2 linked regions of the Cricetulus griseus genome follow. The protein of the gene in region 1 interacts with the protein of each later gene in a pairwise test. Links are inferred from orthologs where the notes say so. Each region holds a gene or a part of one and is shown in the gene's direction. Other genes may lie near its edges. The genes, in order: Lax1 and Grb7.

What was found.
Region 2: the proteins of Lax1 (region 1) and Grb7 interact in binary tests that used the Homo sapiens proteins (3 or more experiments, as listed by UniProt). The two-hybrid records come from large-scale screens. The link is inferred for Cricetulus griseus from reciprocal best matches to the Homo sapiens genes LAX1 and GRB7.

The regions. Positions count from the first base shown.
Region 1 is NC_048598.1:55,497,758-55,507,653, forward strand, and holds the start of Lax1 (lymphocyte transmembrane adapter 1), read left to right. Parts: upstream 1-5,106; 5' UTR 5,107-5,654; intron 5,655-6,643; 5' UTR 6,644-6,792; coding exon 6,793-6,881; intron 6,882-9,896. UniProt on the Homo sapiens protein: Negatively regulates TCR (T-cell antigen receptor)-mediated signaling in T-cells and BCR (B-cell antigen receptor)-mediated signaling in B-cells.
Region 2 is NC_048600.1:111,570,669-111,580,479, forward strand, and holds Grb7 (growth factor receptor-bound protein 7), read left to right. Parts: upstream 1-3,041; coding exon 3,042-3,193; intron 3,194-3,298; coding exon 3,299-3,449; intron 3,450-3,607; coding exon 3,608-3,764; intron 3,765-3,874; coding exon 3,875-3,996; intron 3,997-4,118; coding exon 4,119-4,196; intron 4,197-4,425; coding exon 4,426-4,575; intron 4,576-5,252; coding exon 5,253-5,363; intron 5,364-5,573; coding exon 5,574-5,672; intron 5,673-5,899; coding exon 5,900-5,980; intron 5,981-6,071; coding exon 6,072-6,188; intron 6,189-6,318; coding exon 6,319-6,379; intron 6,380-6,493; coding exon 6,494-6,581; intron 6,582-6,683; coding exon 6,684-6,777; intron 6,778-6,951; coding exon 6,952-7,098; 3' UTR 7,099-7,261; downstream 7,262-9,811. UniProt on the Homo sapiens protein: Adapter protein that interacts with the cytoplasmic domain of numerous receptor kinases and modulates down-stream signaling. Promotes activation of down-stream protein kinases, including STAT3, AKT1, MAPK1 and/or MAPK3. Promotes activation of HRAS.

The DNA.
Region 1 (9,896 bases):
TTCCTAGGAGTACACAGACCCAAGCCCCATTGCCATGCCTTTGTCCTATGTCACACAAAATAATAAAAAGGAAATGCCGCCCTCACGTGTTTGGGACATCCAATCAATGAAATGACGCAATGATTATTGAAGGGACACTAGCTGGGCCGAACATGGCAACATAGCTCTGGCACACTTTGCTCTTCTCCATTCCCTCTGCCTTGTTAAAAAAACAAAAACAAATCAAAACATTAGATTACATCCTTAAAGCTAGCCACAAGGTCTATAGCCTTATTTGGCCACTTCCTCCTCCTGAGTCTGACTACCAAAGTCCAGCAATCAAAAGGCCCCTTTGGCTCACCTAATTAACATGTCCAATTAAAATTAAACAATTAGTCCTAACAGGAGGTTTCCCCTTTTACGTTAATAAACCACCATTCGCCTGTGGGCCACATCTGTCTCTCCATCCAGAGACAGTCCTTTGTTGTAGTTGTCATCCTTCTCCCCACCCAAGATCCCTTCCCCCCTCTCCCTTGTTCCTTTCCCCTTCTTTGTCCTCTATCTCCTGTCTTTGCCCCTTATTGCCTGCCTTTTTGTCCCCCTGGGACAAATAAATCTCCTTTGTGCTAAGAATTTGGTCTTGGGGGTCTTGAGCCAATACTGGTCCCTTCAGTTATTACCAGGAGTTTTTCTACTCATCAGAGGCACAAGGAAAACAGCCTAGCCAGGCCTTGCTAGCACACACCTTTAGTCCCAGCATTTGGGAGGCAGGGGCAGGCAGATCTCTGTGAGTTTGAGGCCAGCCTGGTCTACAGAGCAAGTTCTAGGACAGCCAAGGGTACACAAAGGAGCCCTGTCTTGAAAAAAAGAGAAAGGAAACAACTCTGCCTTACACCTCCCATCTTCTGGCTCTGCTCTCACTGACACATGCAGTATCTGGACCACAAGCAGGTGTTGTGTCTCACTCACCTCCCCTGAGACTTGCTACAACCATCTGATTCCTACTATGACTGCCATGGTTTCCTGTGCTGGGTGCCACCCTTTCCTGTCGGGGCCCAGGGGTCAGCAGTTGTCCATTTGTCCTCTTAGAGGCGGTTCTCTGGCCACTTGCAACTTGGGGAGGGGGCAAGGAAAATTGGGTTGTTCTTAGCAGTGCCTCCCTCCTCAGGGCACACCTCATCTGTGGCTCTCAGGCTGGGAGGTCTCTAGGGACACTGTAGAGGCTGCTAGATAGGAAATCCCAGAAGAATCAAGAAGGCAGAGGCCTTGTCTGTCCTTAGAACTTTCTTATCTGTGCGCAATACCAATCACCTCCCCCATCAGGGCCCTGAGTGTGCAGGGACCGCCCCCATCCTAGCCTTCTGAAAGTTCCGCAAACTGCTCCGAGGTGTTGGGTGGAGTGGAGGCGGGGAGCAGAGAAGGGAGGGAGCTGTACCAGTTTTCTCACACCTTTAGCTCAAAAGGAAGGTGTTTGCTGCCTTTGTTCTGTTTCAGACCTGTCTGTACTGGAAAGGCCTCAGGGATCAAACAACGAAGGGGGAAGGGACGCTTCCATAGACCTGTTCTTGTCATCAAAGATCTTCCCAGCCCCAAAACTTCCAAAAAAGGAAGTCTGGTTTGGGTTGTTTTTCATTCTTTCACACAAGCAATTTGGACCCCCCCCCACACACACACACACACACAGAAATATCAGAGCCACTGTTAACACCTTTGCAGAGCAAAGACCAGGCACAAGAGATTAGGCTTCCTTCCTGTGAGGACATCCCTTGGTAAGAGTGCCCAGCAGGAAGAATGAAAAGCCACCGAGCAGTCCCAGGATCTCACCCATCACACTGTGCATCACAAACTCAGTAGCAAGAAACACTAAAGAAAACCAGTGAGAGACCCAGTTAGCTCTGGGAGGCAACACTGTGCTCTTAAACAGAATTCCACTTTCTTGCCCCAGGGGCCTCAGAGGCCACTCAGAGAGACAGACACATATCAAAGGCAGGAAGGAGCCCCCACTACATGAGCAAGACCATGTCCTGCACAGAGCTGTGGAGGCAGACACAGAGGAATGCCCCAGATCCCTAGAGGGAAAGCTCACAGAGGTGGTAATTCTTGGGCCATATTTTCCTTTTATTTAAAACAAAGCAGAACAAAAAACATAGTTATCCTTTTTTTTTTTTTCTAAAAACAATATTTGATGGTTGTGACAATCTGAGCAGTGAGAGTTAAGAGAAGAAAGTCACAATTTCCCCAAGGCCTACAAACCAGAAAGGACCAACAGTACAGAGCTTCAGATAGGACTGTACTGTACTGGAATTTTACAAAATAAAAGAAAATGCCGATAAAATGAAGATACCTGGGCACCCATTGTACAAAGTGAGGTTGACTAGGGTCTGTGTGTAACACATGCACCCAAAAGGGAGTACCGTCCAGACCGGCCACCATGCCAAGGGAGGACCAAGAGTGCGTCCCCTAAGGAGTGATGCCGCAAAAATATGGGATGGGGGAATTGTGTTTTTTTTTTTTTTACATTAGAACCCAGTATGGCCTCAAACTTTCAATCCTACTGCTTCAGCCTCCCAAGAAGTGAGATTACAGGAATGACCCGAGTTTAAAGAGTAAAGTAACATTGAGCGTGGAGGGCAATGGGGGCAATTCATTAAATATAAGAGGTCGAGATCAATGTCACTATAATAGCAGAGCAGGCTCTGTTTAATGAGCTCCTGTGTGTGTCAAGTACTGAGCCAGACAGTTTTCATTAGTGGTCAAACTAATTTTCACAGCAATGTTGTGTAAGAACTTTTCCTGTTGCCAGTTACATCTAAGGAAATAGTATAGAAAGAGAAGATGAGCTGCCAGGACCCTCTGGGTGGTTAGAATCTGAACCCAGTTGATGTTTAATTAGAACTTGTGTCTTCCTGGAGGACTTCAGAAAAGATTCTGGCATTAAAGGCTTTAATGACATAGCACTCAACTCCCCAACTTCATCAAGAGTCTGCTCAAGCCGGGCAGTGGTGGTACATGAATGCCTTTAATTCCAGCACTTGGAGGCAGAGGTAGTTCAAGACCAACTTGGGCCACTTAGCATGACCCCACCAAAAAAAAAAAAAAAAAAAAGCAAAAATAAAACCAGTCCCAACAGTTTATGGTCATGTCACAGAGGGGTTTCAAGGAACACTAAAAGAATCCGGCTCAAAGCGTGCACCACCTCATTTCCCAGAAACAAGTAGTTTTCTCCCCCTATTCTGAGAAAGTATTCTTATCTTAATTTGTTTATTAGCCAGGTTAGACTTGTGGAAGGACAGGGAACAGGATAGTAGAGGGATGTGGGGCTAGCAGCCGGAGAAGAGAATCCCTCTGAGGTTGTTTCCCTCAGGCATGGTAGCAGCATGGGACACCAGGAGGGAATGCTGGTCTGGCTGCAGCAGTCTGGGTAAACAAAAGAGATGATTACACACAGAGGGAAACGCTTTTTTAGTTCAGGGTTCTGAGGTCGGCTCCCCCTGCCTTCCTGTGAGGCTCCAGTCAAGGTCCCAGCTCACACAGCATGTGCCATAGCTTACAATGACTCACAAGGGCAGCCTGACCACCAGTCTTCTAATGCAAGGGATCTAGTGAGGAATCCTAGTTTTCATTCAGACCTAAAAGAAATGTAGGCAGAGACTTAGGTTCCAGCTCTGGAGCCAACTGCCACCAAACCATCTGTTTCCAGATAAGCAGGCTCCCCAGAGGGAAGGTGGTGAGAGCCTGGCATGGTGGGGTTTCATGAAGACTACAGGACTAGTCTGCAGCATCCTAGAGCCCTGGGAGAGCCAGAACAGGCAGAGCTTGTCTGGGCTCTGGAAGCCAAGGACTCCAATGTCCACTGGAAAGAGGTCAGGGAGAGGCCTGGTGACAAAGGCACTGATGGTCATCCCTTTCATCTTCCTGCCGCCCCAACTGGTTTGGAAAGTGCAGTTGAGAGGCTCTCTGCATGCTCTATTCACTCTTCTGAACATACGTGGAGCAAAAAGGAAGGGGAGTTAGAAACAAACTCAGAGCATTCTCCTAAGATTGGAACCTTCAGGTCAGCGCTACGGAGGAACCACTGGCACCTGAAATCAGAGGCTACCCAGGATTGATATTGAACTACAGAAGAGGCAAGCCAGCAACAGATGCCCCCTTGCCAGCAGCCCCGAGTCCCAACAAAGAAACAGCCTCCAGAGGTCCTGCAACCCAGGCTCAGTTCCATTCCCACCATGACACCGGAACAGAGGTACACAAAGTGTGAAACACTGCTTCTGGTACTATCACCTACTGAGAATCTATTTATAAGGCCTGTCCACCCACGGAACCACAAGCAGGTGCCAGATCCGCACTTCTCTCTAAACAACTACTTCTAGTGCTATTTAGACCTGCTAAGAACCAGGCATGGTGGTACACTTTTTTAATCCCAGCACTTAGGAGGCAGAGGCTAGAGGATCTCTGTGAGTTTGAGGCCAACCTGGTCTACATAAGTGAAATACAGAATGGTCAGGGAATGGTCTCAAAGAAAAAGAAAGATAGAAGAGAAGAAAGGATGGATGGATGGGAGGAAAGGATGGAGGAAGGGAAGACGAGGGGAAGAAGGGGAAGGGAAGGAAAGGGAACGGAAGGGAAGGGAAAGGAAAGGAAGGGACAACAACAACAACAAAAGCCAGGTAGTAGTAGCACACACCTTTAATTCCAGCACTCAGGAGATAGAGTCCGATGAATCTCTGAGTTCAAGGCCAATCTGGTCTACTGAGTTCCAGGACAGCCAAGACTACACAGAAAAATCCTGTATCAAAAAAAAAAAAAAAAAGGAGAAGAAAAAGAAAAGAACCATTCTGAACCCTGAGCCTAGCCTACACCTGGAACCCCACCACCAGGGACATTAAGACAAGAGGGTACCATGGGTTTAGCCAGCTTGGGCTATGAAGTGAGATCTGCTTCAAAACCAAACAAAAACAGTCAGCAAGATGGTTCATTTGATCCAGGCACTTGCCTGTAACTCTGAAGACCTGAGTTTGATTTCCTGAGCCCCACGTGGTAGGCGAGAAGGACTCCCCCAAGTGTCCTCTGACCTCCACACATGTGCCATGGTATGTGTGCAGACACACTAAATAAGTGTACTAAGAATAAATAAGTAAAACTAAACAACAAAGTATTTTAAACCCCCGAATTTTGACCTGGAGGCTTATAACACTTTGAAAACCAGAGCGATCAATCCTGTCTCTGATTCCCTAACCCTCTTTAACCACGTGTGCCCCAGATGCCAGAGTGCCCGTGGGGAACAGCAGGGCTGAAGATGGGTTTCCTGCTGCCTGTGGAGAACTGAGCATTTCCTGTGCCCCGTGCCTCATTAGCACACTGGTGAAGGTGCTTCCTGTCAGTGACTCTTTCCATTCTGCCAGAGCAGTTTGCATTTTCACTCTGCTCTGGGGGGGTGGAAGAAAGAGTTTCTCACAGATCTGCTGGACCTCTGGGCATTTTTTTTCCCCTGTGTACCTCACGTTTCCACCAACAGGCAGAAACCAGAGAGCCAGCCCAGCCACTTCACACTGGGAACATCAACACCTGGATGAGAGACAGCTGGCTTTCTCCAGTGGGCATTGTGGTCACCCCCAGTGTACCAAACTCGATGCTTTGGAACCTTGTACCAACTCAGCCTGGAATTTCAGGTGAAGGTAGGGAGGTTTGGGTTTTATTATTATTGTTGTTGTTAGTATAGTAGTACATTTATTTATAGTGTGTGTGTGTGTGTGTGTGTGTGTGTGTGTGTGTGTGTGTGTGTGTTTGAGAGAGAGGGAGAGAGAGAGAGAGAGAGAGAGAGAGAGAGAGATCAGAGAACAATTTATGGGAACTGATTCTCTCCTTCCACCATGAAAGTGGTGATGGGGGCAAATTTGGGTCATCAGGCTGGCAGTAAGCACCACCTCTACCTGAAGAGCCATCACACCAGCCCAAAAAAGGGAGTCAGTTGGAGAAAGTTCTAGAACAGAAGATTAGAATCTTCAGAAAGATTAAAAAAAAAACCAAAACCTTTTTTTGTATATGAGACCTTTGGTGAGTACAATCTAGGAAGGATGGCTGGCAGGGGGTGTTCTGACAGTAGACTGCTTGCCTACGGTGTGCACAGTCCCAGAGTCCCAACCCTAGTGCTCATACAGAGTGTAGCATATGCCTGTAAGTCCCAGTACTAAGGAAGCAGAGGCAGCAGGATCAGAAATTCAAAGTCGTCTTCAGCTATATATCTTGGCTACATAAAGAGTTCTAGGCTACCCTGAGAGGTATGAAACCCTGCATGAACAGCTATATAGCAAGCCCCAGGTTAGTTTGAGATACATGCATCCCCATCTAAGTAAATGAATAAGAAATTTCAAGAGTAGCAGTTGGAGAGATGGCTCAGTGGTTAAGATCATTGACTGCTTTTCCAGAGGATCCAGGTTCAATTCCCAGCACTCACATGGCACCTCACAACTGACTGTAATTCCAGTTCCAGGTGATCTGTCACCCATAGTCAAAGTGCCAATGCATATAAAATAAAGACTTAAAAAAATTGAAAGAAAAAGAAATTTCAAGAGTAAAGAGAGATACATTTGGGAAAATATGGAGATTTGGAGAATTTTCTGTCATTCTTATATTATCTGCTTTTTTCCCTTTTTTTTAAACAAAGGTGGTTGTATGCAAAATACATACCAATTTGCCTTTTTTTCCTACGAATCAGCAACTTAGAAAGAGTCAAGAAAAGGGCAACAATACTGGCTAGTCAATATTGACACGGAGAAGACTTAAATGCTGCAGAGCCCCTGAGAGGTTCCAGGGATGTACACCACACCAGCCCCACCAGATGTCACAAGAAGGAGGAACTCAGGGCCCAGCACTTCGCAGGGGACTCTTGGCAGCCTGGAAGGGTGAGTGCTCTGGGGAAGTAAATGCCACTGTCCCTGGTAGTGCTGCCACACCTACAATCCAGGCCTGGGCCACCAGGACCAGCAAACTGTGAGCTGGGAGGGAAGGAAGGAGATGGAGGTGGAGGACTGACAGCTGAATTTCTGATTGGATTTCCTTCCTCTCAGAGGCCTTGACTTCAATCTTTCTAATCTCTTGTCCCACTATGATAAAAACAAGAGCCCTAGTTCCCCAGCAATGAGATTTTAGATCCTAAAACCTTGTCATGAGTTGTAAATGTAGAGATAGCAGTCATAAAGCTGCTGGGCAGTGGTGGCACACTTCTTTAATGCAAGCACTTGAGAGGCAGAGGTAGGTGTGAGTTCGAGGCCAGCCTGGTCTACAGAGCAAATTCCAGGACAAGTTCCAAAGCTACAGAAAAACCTTGTCTTGAAAAAAAAAAAGTCATAAGACATCAGATCTTACAGACTAATCATGGATGTAAATTCACCCCTGAAGTTCTCAATCTCAGATAAACAAAAGTCTATTGGGTGGTGAGACTTCAGAAATGCTAGTGGGCGTGAAACCTTTTCAATTATTGTAGTTTTAGGAAAATTTATTAGTATTACCAGAGAAAATCCTGCATGTCCCTTGCAGGTAAAAGATGCCTGCTAAAAAGACATGAGTTCGTATCATTGTTGAAGCCTGAAGCAACCTCCCAAAGCTATTTCCTTTTTTTTTCTTTTTTTTTTTTTAAATTTTTGTTGTGGGGGAGTAGAAGGGTGGAGAGGTCAGGGTGCAGGGATTGGGTCTTTCACCATGTGGGCCTCAGGGATCAAACTCAGAGTGGCAGGTTTGACAGTGGATACCTTTACCCACTGAGTCAGCTCACTAACTCTTAAAACTATTGCTTTTTTAAATCGATTTTTGTTTTGTTGTTATTTCCTTTTTCTTTTTAACTTTGTAACTACAAAGTAAAATTTGTATTTTTATACTGTATTTAAGCATGTTGTTTTGAAATATGTACACATTGTAGATGGCTAAGTTGAGCTAAGTAACACATGTATTAGTGACATACTTTTTATGAGAGGATACGTCAAATAACAATTTAAGCAATGTTCAAAAATACGTAATTTTCAACATTACCATGTTGAACTTCTTCCTTCCATCTAACCTTTGACCAACATCTCAGGGACCCCTCGAGCCACCCCTGATGACCACCATACTCCTGCTTTATGAGTTCAGTCTTTTTAGATTCCGCATCTAAATGAGATTATGCAGCATCTGTCTGCTCCTAGCTTTGTTCACTTAACACTATGTCCTCCAGGTCCATCCACCTTATCACATACGACATGAACGTCTTCCCTTTTTAAAGCTGAGTGGTACCCATTGTAAATGTACTCCACACTCTCTATCCATTCGTCTGATGGTAGATGCTCAGCTTGACTCCATATTTGGCTATTGTGAATTTTGCTACAATGAACATGGCAGTACAAACAGCTCTAATAAACAGGAGGGTGCAGGCAACACGGCTTTTATTTGTTTTGAACAGAGATCTAGCAGTGGGGTTGGCATAACATATGGTGGCTCTATTTTTAATTTTTGGGATAATTGCCATAAGTCATTTCCCACAGCGACTGCATTATCCTCAAAACTATTTCTGCGTTCATTCGTTATTTATTTCATTCACATATCATTGGACAAATATTCATTAAGATTCTACGTCAGAGGTGCTGTTTAAGATGCTGAGTGAATAGACAAGTCCATGGCTTCTTGAAGATTACAGTCAGTGGCAGTGTTTGATGGCAAACAGATAACCAAATAAATGTAGTATGACCAGGGAAGATCTCTCTAAGGAGATGACAACACTGTAAAAGAGACTTAAATGAAATGAGGAACTTGGCCATTCTGAGTACCTGGAGAAGGAGAGGTAGATCTGAGATAAAACTATTCTTCATATGGGCCAGAACAGCAAGAAATTATGGTGGTCCACATCAGAGCTGAAGGGGTTGGAAATGAGCCCCGAAGTTAATCAGGAGATGCCAGATCACATTATGAAGAAAAAATAATCTCACTGAGTATTACATTCATTGTCAGTATGATGTAAAGCCATGGAAGATTCTCAGTGGAGGAGAGACATGATATGACTTACTCTTTACAGTGATCATACTAGTTCACAGGTGAGCATGGTATGTTGAAGCCAAGAGTGAAAGCCAGGCGAGCCAATAAGGAGGTGACCACTGCAAAAGTCCCCCTGGAACTCATGTTGGCTTATGCCACTGTGGTGACAATGAAAGAAATAGAGGTGACTGGACTTGAAGCAGATGCCCTTGCCCAGGGCAAAGCTGATTAACTGGAAATAGGGCATGAAAGAACAGTCAGGCAGGAGTGGTGTCAAGCATTTAGACTGTAGTGCTATATGGTTGGAAGTCTAGAGGAAAAGCCAGTATATGGAGGCAGAATGGGAGCCCAGTTTTGGTTTGAGATCTCTATTGGACAACTTAAGAGAAACGGCCAATAGAAAATTGGGTCAATATACCCAGAACTCAGCAATACAAAAATCTTTCCAGATATGGCCCAGATTTAATATGTGGGGGTCAGCTCCTTGTTCCTGCTGGGTTTCCACTGCTTACTTCCTGCTAGAGTGGGTGTGGATGCCTGATGTTGCAATCCTTGGATGCATTTCAACACCGGAGCTGAGCCGTGGCTGCACCCTGCCTGAGAATTGAAAGACTGCTCAAAACTAGTGTTGGTTAAATTTCACCCAACAGGCTAGTGTTGCTTAGAGACCAGCCCACATCTGGGGGTTACTCAAGTTCATGTAAACTGGACTCTGTTACAGAGCCACTCCCTGATAGTGAGTTGAGTAATCCTCTCCCAGCAAAGCCAGGAAACCCGGGAGCAGGAATGACAGAAAAACCTGGCCAGATGCATTTGGCTTTGGAAGTTTGCAGATAGTGTAAGAGTAGAAAAAGAATGATCTCTGGACTTAAACCAACCTAGACTTTTTTTTTTTTTTTTTTTTTTTTTCCTTTTTT
Region 2 (9,811 bases), on another chromosome or scaffold:
CTCAAGACCAGCTAGTTAGGGTGGCGGGGGTCCCGAGGTGGCTCTTCACTGCCTTGCTGAGCTCAGTTTACTACAATCCCATTGGAGGGGAGTAAAGTTCCCATCTGGAGGGGAGTAAAGTTCCACCATGGCTGGGACTCCGTATCTCCACGTCGTTCGTTGTCCCCCTCGGATGTGGAAGCCCGGCCTCCTGGATGCACCAGCAAATGGACAAAGAAAACCGGAGGTGCGGGCGCTGAGAGAAGGGTCTGCTGTGCAGGGGCAGGAAGAGAGTGCGTGGCGGCTCATGTAAGCCTGTCTTGAGGCTGAAGCTGGGGAAAGACCTAGGTCCGGGTCTGGGTCTTCATGGCAGGATGGGACAGTGTGCACCTGAGGGCCAGATGGTGATCTTTTCAGCCTTTTTTGCCCTTGCCCCCCAGGAATGCGATGCCTTCTGGGTTGTGAGTCTGTGCTAGCTTGGACTCTGCTCTCCCTCGTGTGTGTGTGTGTGTGTGTGTGTGTTGTACACCTCCCCAAAAGTAAAATAATGATTAACTCTGCAGGGAACTCTACTGGAAATTCTAGCATTCTTCCCAAATTAAACATTACAAGAATTGTCCCGCCCCCTCTATTCCATTGGGTGTTTTTTTCCTGAGCGGAGTGGGCGGAGCATCAACTTCGGGTCAACTAAGGGTTTCCTGCCTCCTCATCTGGTCCAGGCACCCCTAAAGGTTAAGCCCCCCACTTTCCTCCCCAAGTCGTGATGGGGGTTGGATTGGTGTACTAGATCAGAAGCGGACTGCCCGGGCCACTGGCTCCCCAACCCTTCCCCCTAAACCTGAGAAGAGTGGATGGTGGCCCTGTTTGCTGTTGGCCCCAAACATTTAGGCCTTGCTACTCGCCTTGGGGTTTGCTAGGTGGGGCAAGATTCAGGAAGTAAACAAGGCGGCTGGAAGGGTAGGAGAGAGGGTGGGGCGGGAGCTGCTGGGGCTGGATAGCCAGAGTTGGAGTGGCCTGGCTGAGAGGACTAGTTGGTTGGGGGCCCAGTTTCTACACGGGAAGATTTGCTTAGGCCTAGTTTGACTGTTTCAGCTCTCTTGGGCAGGGGCTGCGGGGCCCAGAGCAGGCTCCTATGCCCCACCTTATCTTTTAGGTACCGACAGCTGCTAGTCTTCTCCAGATGAAGGGTGGGGTGGAGGGCTCTGGAAGCTAACCCTAGTGCAGCCGGCACCTGGGCCTCTGACATCAGACTGTAATCTGACTTGAATCCACACCCCCCCCCATTTCAAACACCTGTCCAGCCGGGTGTTGTTTTCTCACTTTGAGGGAGGGGCACCCCGGCAGAGGAGGACCCCCATTCCTGAAATGAAAGATCAGGTGTGTGGGAGTGGGTGCCAGGTGTTGATGCCCCTTGCTTGGTGACTTGGGCATGCTAAGTGTCACGAGTGTCTTGCTTGCTCTGCTTGGCTCTCCTGGAGTTATGTTGTCAGTCTGTTTGCCTGTCCTCTTGGGTGTTTTGACTCCACTCCTGCCTGATGGTACCTCTCAGGTCAGGACATCCCAGAGTGTGTTCAGAGACCCTCTTCCACGGAGCAATACACAGGAGTCCCCAAGGCCAGATGCATCAGCATACATCCTAGGATAATTAACAGCGAAGAGAGTTGCAGGTTCCAGACCTAGGCTAGGCAGGACTGGATGCTGCCTGCACATCACCAGGAGGTCGGCTCCAATCCTGATAGGCTCCTGGATCCAGGCCGGGCATTTCCTCCTACCTCCCTGGGTTATAGGCAGGGTGATGGTTTGGGACTAAGGTGGGCAGATGATTAGTCCCACCTGGGCTGGACACTGGCCAAGGGTGGGGAGGATGATGTCAGAGGAGCCTCGGGCTGCTCCTCCCATTTTCATCTTTCCCCAGCCTGCACCCCTTGCTCCCAGGCTACCTGTAGGTTGGGGAGTCAGGGACTGAGGGCAGAGGCAGGTTGTTTGTGTTCCTCCTCAGCCAGGAAGTCCTATAGATGAGTCAAAGTTGAATGGGGAGCCTGGGGCATAGCTGTCCCGCCCCGCCCTGACTCACCTGTCCCCCAGATCCCTTCATGCCCTCACAGAAGGGTCAAGAGTTTGTCCTATCCTGGTGCCAGGAACCTTCCCAGGTGTCCTGGGCAGCCTCACAGTCCTGATGCAGGGTCTGGAGAACAGGCAGGATACTGGGATTGGCATTTTGTCTGGGTTCTGCCAGGTTCAGCACCATGGGGTCTGCTGGTTCCTGCAGAGAAAGGCTGGAACCTGCCCCACCCCCAACCCCTTGCCTGGTCTCGTCTGTCCTTACTTGTCCTAACTTCTCTGCACCCGTGGGTGCTAAGGCATAGGTGAGACTCTAATGTGTGCCAGGTGCTTTCAGACCAGAGATGGGTTAAGACAGGTGCACAGTAGTGGGGGTAGAGTTCCCAGCACCAGGCTGAGTGTGACAAGTCCAAGAGAACTTCTCATCCATAGGAGGTGGCTTTATCATTGTGGCTTTGGGTAAAAATTGGGTGGGATGAGGAGTCTGGGAAGGCCCACCGAGTTTGTGGGTGCTGGGGTAAGAGCCCCCCAGGCCTCCTGTTTCCACCACAACCTGAGCACATGGTCCTGCCCTCCTGATCCTGTCCTTCCTAATCGCCTCTCTCTATCACTCATCTCTCTGCCAGGTGTTACCACAACAGGCCTGGCAAACTGCATCTGGCAACAGGTGCTAGAACAATAAAGTGCTGGAAAAATCTGGGGCAGAGCCCAGTGGCATGAACAGCCTTTGCCCTGACCCTGTGGCTCCAGCTAGGGACATGTGGCATGGAGCCTACCTCTTCTTTCCCCTGAGCTGGTGTTGCTGCAGGGAGAGCACTGGCATTGGAGTCCCAAGCACCAGACTGAATGCCACTGGGCACATGCGTACTTCCTTCTCAGGACCCCAGTGTTCCTTTCTATGAAGTGGGCGTGCCCTGTATCCCCTCTGAGGGCTCCGAGGAAACTGCAGTTTGAAGGGATCAGCGATAGCACATGGCATCAACATTGTCTTCACAGGTACCATGGAACTGGATCTGAGCCCACCTCATCTCAGCAGCTCCCCAGAAGATGCGTGCCCAGCTCCTGGGACCCCTCCTGAGACTCCTCCACCCCCTGATAACCCTCCAGCTGGGGATGTGAAGCGGTCACAGCCTCTGCCCATTCCAAGCAGCAGGTAGGATCGGACAGTGGGGCTGCATGGGTAGGGAGGTCTGGGGACAGGGAGGCGAGCCAGCACTGACTAACACATAGTGGCTTCCATCCCTCAACTCTGACATAGGAAACTTCGAGAAGAGGAGCTTCAGGTGACCTCGCTACCCTCCATCCCCAACCCGTTCCCTGAGCTCTGCAGCCCGCCTTCACAGAAACCCATTCTTGGAGGTTCCTCCAGTGCAAGGGGGTTGCTTTCTCGAGATTCCAGTCGCCTCCATGTGAGTTGTTTTGGGAAAGGGAACAGTGGGGACAGTGCTGCCCCAGCCCCGGGCAGATGTGGTGTCGCCTCTTTGGTGCAGGTCCCTGAACATAAGTCAGAGAGTAGAGTCCCCCGCCCCTGCCTTGCCCCAAGTAACCTGCAGTTCCTGGGGTACAGGTGGTGAAGGTGTACAGTGAGGATGGGACCTGCCGGTCTGTGGAGGTGGCAGCGGGTGCCACAGCTCGACATGTGTGTGAAATGCTGGTACAGCGAGCCCATGCCCTGGGTGATGAGAGCTGGGGCCTGGTGGAATGCCATCCCTATTTAGCACTGGGTGAGTCGGGGTACAAGGAGCTGTGGGGCGATGTCTTGGGCAAGATAGGTGGCTCATCTGTGAGGCTTGGTTAATTTCTACCAACCCCTGCTTTTCACCCTTGATCTCAGAGCGGGGTGTGGAGGACCATGAGTTTGTGGTGGAAGTGCAGGAGGCCTGGCCTGTTGGTGGAGATAGTCGCTTTGTCTTCCGCAAAAACTTTGCCAAGTATGAACTGTTCAAGAGCCCCCCGGTGAGTGGGAACTGGGTGTACACACACACACACACACACACACACACACACACACACACACACTCTAGATCCCTAGCCTGGATTCTTGAGCGTTGATTCCTAACTATTTCTTTCTTCCCTAGCATACACTGTTCCCAGAAAAGATGGTCTCCAGCTGTCTGGATGCACAAACAGGCACATCTCATGAAGACCTCATCCAGGTGAGGTCTGCCTCACCATAGATCCACAATTCTCCCTACCCCCTTACCCCAAGTCATCCAGTGTTTCTACCCTCTGCTGCCATGTGTGATCTGATCTGTGTTTGTTGGTGTCTGCCGCCACCATGGTGACCTTTGCTGGTGAAATGGTGGCAGTCAGTGCTGGTGCAGCACCTCCTGCGGAGGTTTGAGAGGAGGCAAGCCCTTCACCCCTGTTCACATCTGTCCCCAGAACTTCCTGAATGCCGGCAGCTTCCCCGAGATCCAGGGCTTTCTGCAGCTTCGGGGCTCTGGCCGGGGCTCAGGCCGAAAGCTTTGGAAACGGTTCTTCTGCTTTCTGCGCCGGTCCGGCCTCTACTACTCCACCAAGGGCACGTCCAAGGTGAGGTCTTGAGGTCAGCTCTCGCCTGTCATGTACTTCTTCCTCACTAGTGCTTCTTGACCCTTCCATCTTGGGCCCGGGGATCCTCAGCTGCTCTTCCTTCCCCTTGGGCTGGCTGTCTTCAGGCCATGCCAGAATCTATCCATCCCAACCCCTGTTTGGCTCACCTACCCTAGGAATGGCAGTAGAAAACATAGGCGCCTGTGTGTGTGTGTGTGTGTGTGTGTGTGTGTGTGTGTGTGTGAGAGAGAGAGAGAGAGAGAGAGGGAGAGGGAGAGGGAGAGGGAGAGGGAGGAAGGGAGGGAGGGAGGGAGAGAGAGACATTGTTAGCCATCACCATTGGTCTCAGGTCTTCAGGACCTTGTTTTTGAAGACAGGGTCCCTACTAGGACCTAGGACTTGCAGATTAGGTCAGGCTGAGTGGCAACCCCACACGGGGATTAGAAGTGTATAGCATTACATCCAGCTCTTTAAGTGGGTGCTGGGGATTAAACTTGGGTCCTCCTGCTTGCACAGCAAGCCTTTTACCAACTGAGCCCTCTCCTCAGCCTCTATCTGCTGTGTGAACATGGGTATTTCCCTGCCTCTCCCTGGTCCTAAACTCTCTTTACCTGGTGGGGCACTAATGTGGAGATAGGACCTACCTGTACCAAGCCCTACTTTCTCACCATGCCCAGGACCCGAGGCACCTACAGTATGTGGCAGATGTGAATGAGTCTAATGCCTATGTGGTGACCCAGGGCCGCAAGCTCTATGGGGTGCCCACGGACTTCGGCTTCTGTGTCAAGGTGAGGACTCAAGCAAGGCCTGGTGTGTGTGGGGGGGCGGTGAGAGCTGTCCAAATTCTAGTGTCCTGCCTATGGCTTGTGAACCCCGTCTTGAGAAACCCAGCCAATTACCGCTATACCTGCACATCTGGGTAGTCCTTGGGCCCTTCTTTGCCCCGTGGCAACTGGGCACAGAATCAGACAGGGGACAGACCACTTCCTCTCTCCCAGCCCAACAAGCTTCGAAATGGCCACAAGGGCCTCCACATCTTCTGCAGTGAGGATGAGCAGAGCCGGACCTGCTGGCTCACTGCTTTCCGTCTCTTCAAGGTAAGACCCCTGGAACAGCAGGGGGGCTGGCCTTGCCTGAGGGAGGTGACATGGCTCTGCCTTCAGGAAGTCTTCCCAGTAAGAGGTCACCATAGCCGGGCTTCTGAGAATACCAGTCAGGAAGGGCAGGGTCAGCCCTACTCTGGAGAAGTCCTGGCCTGAGGGGTGTCACAGCCCATCTCCTAGGCTCTCTTGACCTCAAACCTCTTTTCTTCCCCTGCCTCAAGTATGGGATGCAGTTATATAAGAACTATCAGCAGACTCAGTCTCGTCACCTGCGCCTGTCCTATTTGGGGTCTTCGCCCTTGGTGAGTATACTCAGGGGTATTAGGAGAGGTGAGGATACAGGCTCAGGGCAGCTATTCTGACCCCTCCCTCCTCCTTCTGTCCTTTTTGCAGAGGAGTGTTTCAGATAATACCCTAGTGGCCATGGACTTCTCTGGCCATGCTGGGCGTGTCATAGAGAACCCCCGGGAAGCTCTGAGTGCCGCCATGGAGGAGGCCCAGGCCTGGAGGGTAAGCCCTGCGTGCATCCGTGTTTGCTGCACTGGCTCCCAGTGGGCTTTCATGGAGTGGGAGGGAGGAAGAGGGGTTGGGGAGAGGGTGAGTGCCAGTGGCACTCTGACTCCCATGCCCCCCACTGCAGAAGAAGACAAACCACCGTCTCAGCCTGCCCACCCCATGCTCCGGCTCGAGTCTCAGCGCAGGTAGGTGACAGTCTAGAGTTCTTAGGGTGGACGATGGTGCTACTCTGAGCCTTCTTGGCTTGGGTCAGGCATGTTTTCCCTGAATGACCAGCATCACTTTTCTCCTGACCCCAGCCATCCACCGCACCCAACCCTGGTTCCACGGACGCATTTCCCGGGAGGAGAGCCAGCGGCTAATTGGACAACAGGGTCTGGTGGATGGGTAAGAGGCTGGGCTGGGTGGGGTAACTGACCTGGGGACCAGCAAGACCCTAGGGCAGGTGCAACCAGGAATCCCTGGTAACGTGGTTTTGTCTCCTCAAAGTGTGTTCCTGGTCCGGGAGAGTCAGCGCAACCCACAGGGCTTTGTTCTGTCCTTGTGTCACCTGCAGAAAGTCAAGCATTACCTCATCCTACCAGTGAGTAACTCCCCTATTTATAACTTGGGTTCTCGTAGCCCGGGGAAACACGACTTGAAGTCCTACTATGCGCCTCCTTTTTCCCTGTACAAGAAACGGGGGTCAATTGCTGGTCCCAAGGGCTGCTCCTCCGCTCGGGACGGCTCCCTGACCTGCCCTCTGGCCACACCACAGAGCGAAGATGAGGGTTGTCTCTACTTCAGCATGGACGACGGCCAGACCCGTTTCACAGACCTGCTGCAGCTGGTGGAATTCCACCAGCTGAACCGAGGCATCCTGCCCTGTGTGCTGCGCCATTGCTGTGCCCGTGTGGCCCTCTGAGGCCACTGGAGCCGTTACAGCCCATGGGGCTGCCCACCACCCTTCTGTTCAGTGAACTTGGTGCAGGTGGATGGCATGATGAACTACTGGAGCTCCCCCCATACTCCATTCCACTTTTCTCCTGTGTCTTTACCTCCCTCAGGCAACAAAACATCCCCCGACCCTGTTCATCCCTGAGTCCTGTCCCCAAGGGAGGCATTTGTGGTCCTCTCCTCAGGAGCTCCTGAGGCACTGTTCCAGCTCGGGGCATTATGCAAGAAGAAAGCGCAGCCCCGGTGGTCTAGTGCCCCACACCCTGTACAGACAAAGAGGCCAGTTGATCTGCTCTGTTTTATACTAGTGACAATAAAGATTATTTTTTGATACACCCATGAGTTCTGTCTGGCAAGAAGAGACAACAAGAGGACCCTCAGAGGTGAAGGTGTTGGTCAACCAGAATATGCCCTGAGCACAAAATTGGTGTTAGTGGCCTGGGAGCTTTCATATCCTAGCAAGGACTCTGGCACAGTCAGTGAGTGCTAGTTAAATGGATGAGTGGACAATGGGTAACAAGGGACTGTGCTTTTTTTTTTCATTCTTTTTTATTTTTATTTTTGTTTTTCAAGACAGGGTTTCTCTGTGTAGCTTTGGAGCCTATTCTGGCACTTGCTCTGTAGACCAGACTGGCCTCAAACTCACAGAGATCCATCTGTCTCTGCCTCCAGGGTGCTAGGATTAAAGGTGTGTGCCACCACCGCCCGGCCTCATTCTCTTTTAAAAAGGACTTTTTAAAAAGTATGTATTAGATCTATGTGAGGAGTTGAGTATGTGTACATGTGAGTGCAATTGCTCAAGGAAGCCAGAAGGGGGAGTTGGATCCCTTGGAGCTGTAGCTACAGGCAGCCAGGAGCTGTCTGCTGTGGATTCTGGGAACCAGACTCAGGTCTTCCGCAAGAGCATTACCTGCCTTTAATGAATGAGCCATCTCTTCAGCCCCAAGGGAGTGGGCTTTTCTGACAGCACTTAGATGTAACAGAGTCTGGGAATCAGAGATGAGCCAGATACGGTAGTATGTGCCTGGAATCTCAGCACTTAGGTAGTAGAGGTAGGAAGAACATTTCTGGGCCAGCCTGGGCTATGTGATACCCCATTTGCCCACTTCCCTTCTCCCCACAAACAAAAACAAGATGAGTCAACAAGAAGTCTTGGACTAGTTGGTGGACAGTGAGCCCTGACAAACAAACACCACAGCGGAGAGAATGGTCTCACTTCCCACAAGCCCCTGTGTCTTCCACCAGCTCTTTCCCCCACATGCCCCTATGTCTTCCACCAGCTCTTTCCCCCACAAGCCCCTGTGTCTTCCACCAGCTCTTTCCCCCCACAAGCCCCTGTGTCTTCCACCAACCCCTCTCTCTTTCCAGGTCCAGGTTTGCTTTCTGTCCTTATCCCTCACCCAGAAAGGGGATAAATCCGCAGCCCCACGCCCATCACCCTCTCAGCCTTCGCTTCCAGAATGAGCTTTTGCAAAGTGCAAACTTGTCCTCTGCTCAGCCAGGCTACATTTTCCCCAAGAGTTTCACGCCATCTAACCCGATAGAAGCTTTATAATAAGTGCATCCACCGACACACTCAGTATATACTAAGTGAGTCCAATGGCAACACCTGCACCTCCTGCTTGAGTTGCTCAGAGACGTCTCCTAAATTGTGAATCCCAAGCAGACATTATTTTGCCAGAAGAAGTCAAACTTGACTCTGGTTCTGTGGACTTAATAACTAGTTTACCAGAAATATGAGGGCCAGAGGAACACATGAATTGACACATGGGGACAGTTAGCAAAACCTGGACTTGGAAACTACAGAAGGGGTGGCTCAGTTTCTACTTCAACAATAACAACAGAAATGACAAGAAAAGCAAAGACGGGGAATGTCTACATTCTAAGAAATTCAGATGTGACAACCAAATGATTCAGATCCAAACTCACTGTAAAAATACGTTCATGAGCAATTGGGGGATGTTTTAACTTTTGTGATATTAGGGAATATGGTTAAGTTTTAGAAAAAATGTAAGGTACGAAAATGGCATGGTAGCTACCTCCCCCCACCCCCTGCCCCCACCTCTCGAAAAGACATGTTCTAGCTGCATGGGATTGTGAAGTGTAATCCCAGCACTGTTCTGGCAAGCTCCTGGCAAACCTAGGCTACATGGTGAGACTATCTCAACAAATACCAACAACCCAGAAGGGCGTTGGGGGACAAAAGGGAGGGAGACTCATTTGAAGTATTTCAGGTGAGACATGTCTCGGTTTTCCTGAGACAGGGTCTCACTCTGTGTTTCTGGTTAGGCTGAAATTTGCTAGGTAGACCAGGCTGGCTAGCTTGGAACTCACAGAGATCTACCTGCCCCTGGTAGACCTCTGTCCCCCATCCTTGTCTTAGTTAGGGTTTCTATTGCTGTGAAGAGACACCATGACCACATCAGCTCTTATAAAGGAAAACATTTAATTGAGATGGCAGCTTACAGTTTCAGAGGCTCAGTTCATTATCATCATGGCGGGGAGCAGGGCGGCGTGCACACAGACATGGTGCTGGAGGAGGAGCTGAGAGTCCTACACCTTGCCGGCAACAGGAAGCCAACTGAGACACTGGGTGGTACCCTGAGCATAGGAAACCTCAAAGCCCACCCCACAGTGACACATTTCCCACCCCACAGTGACACATTTCCCCCAACAAGGCT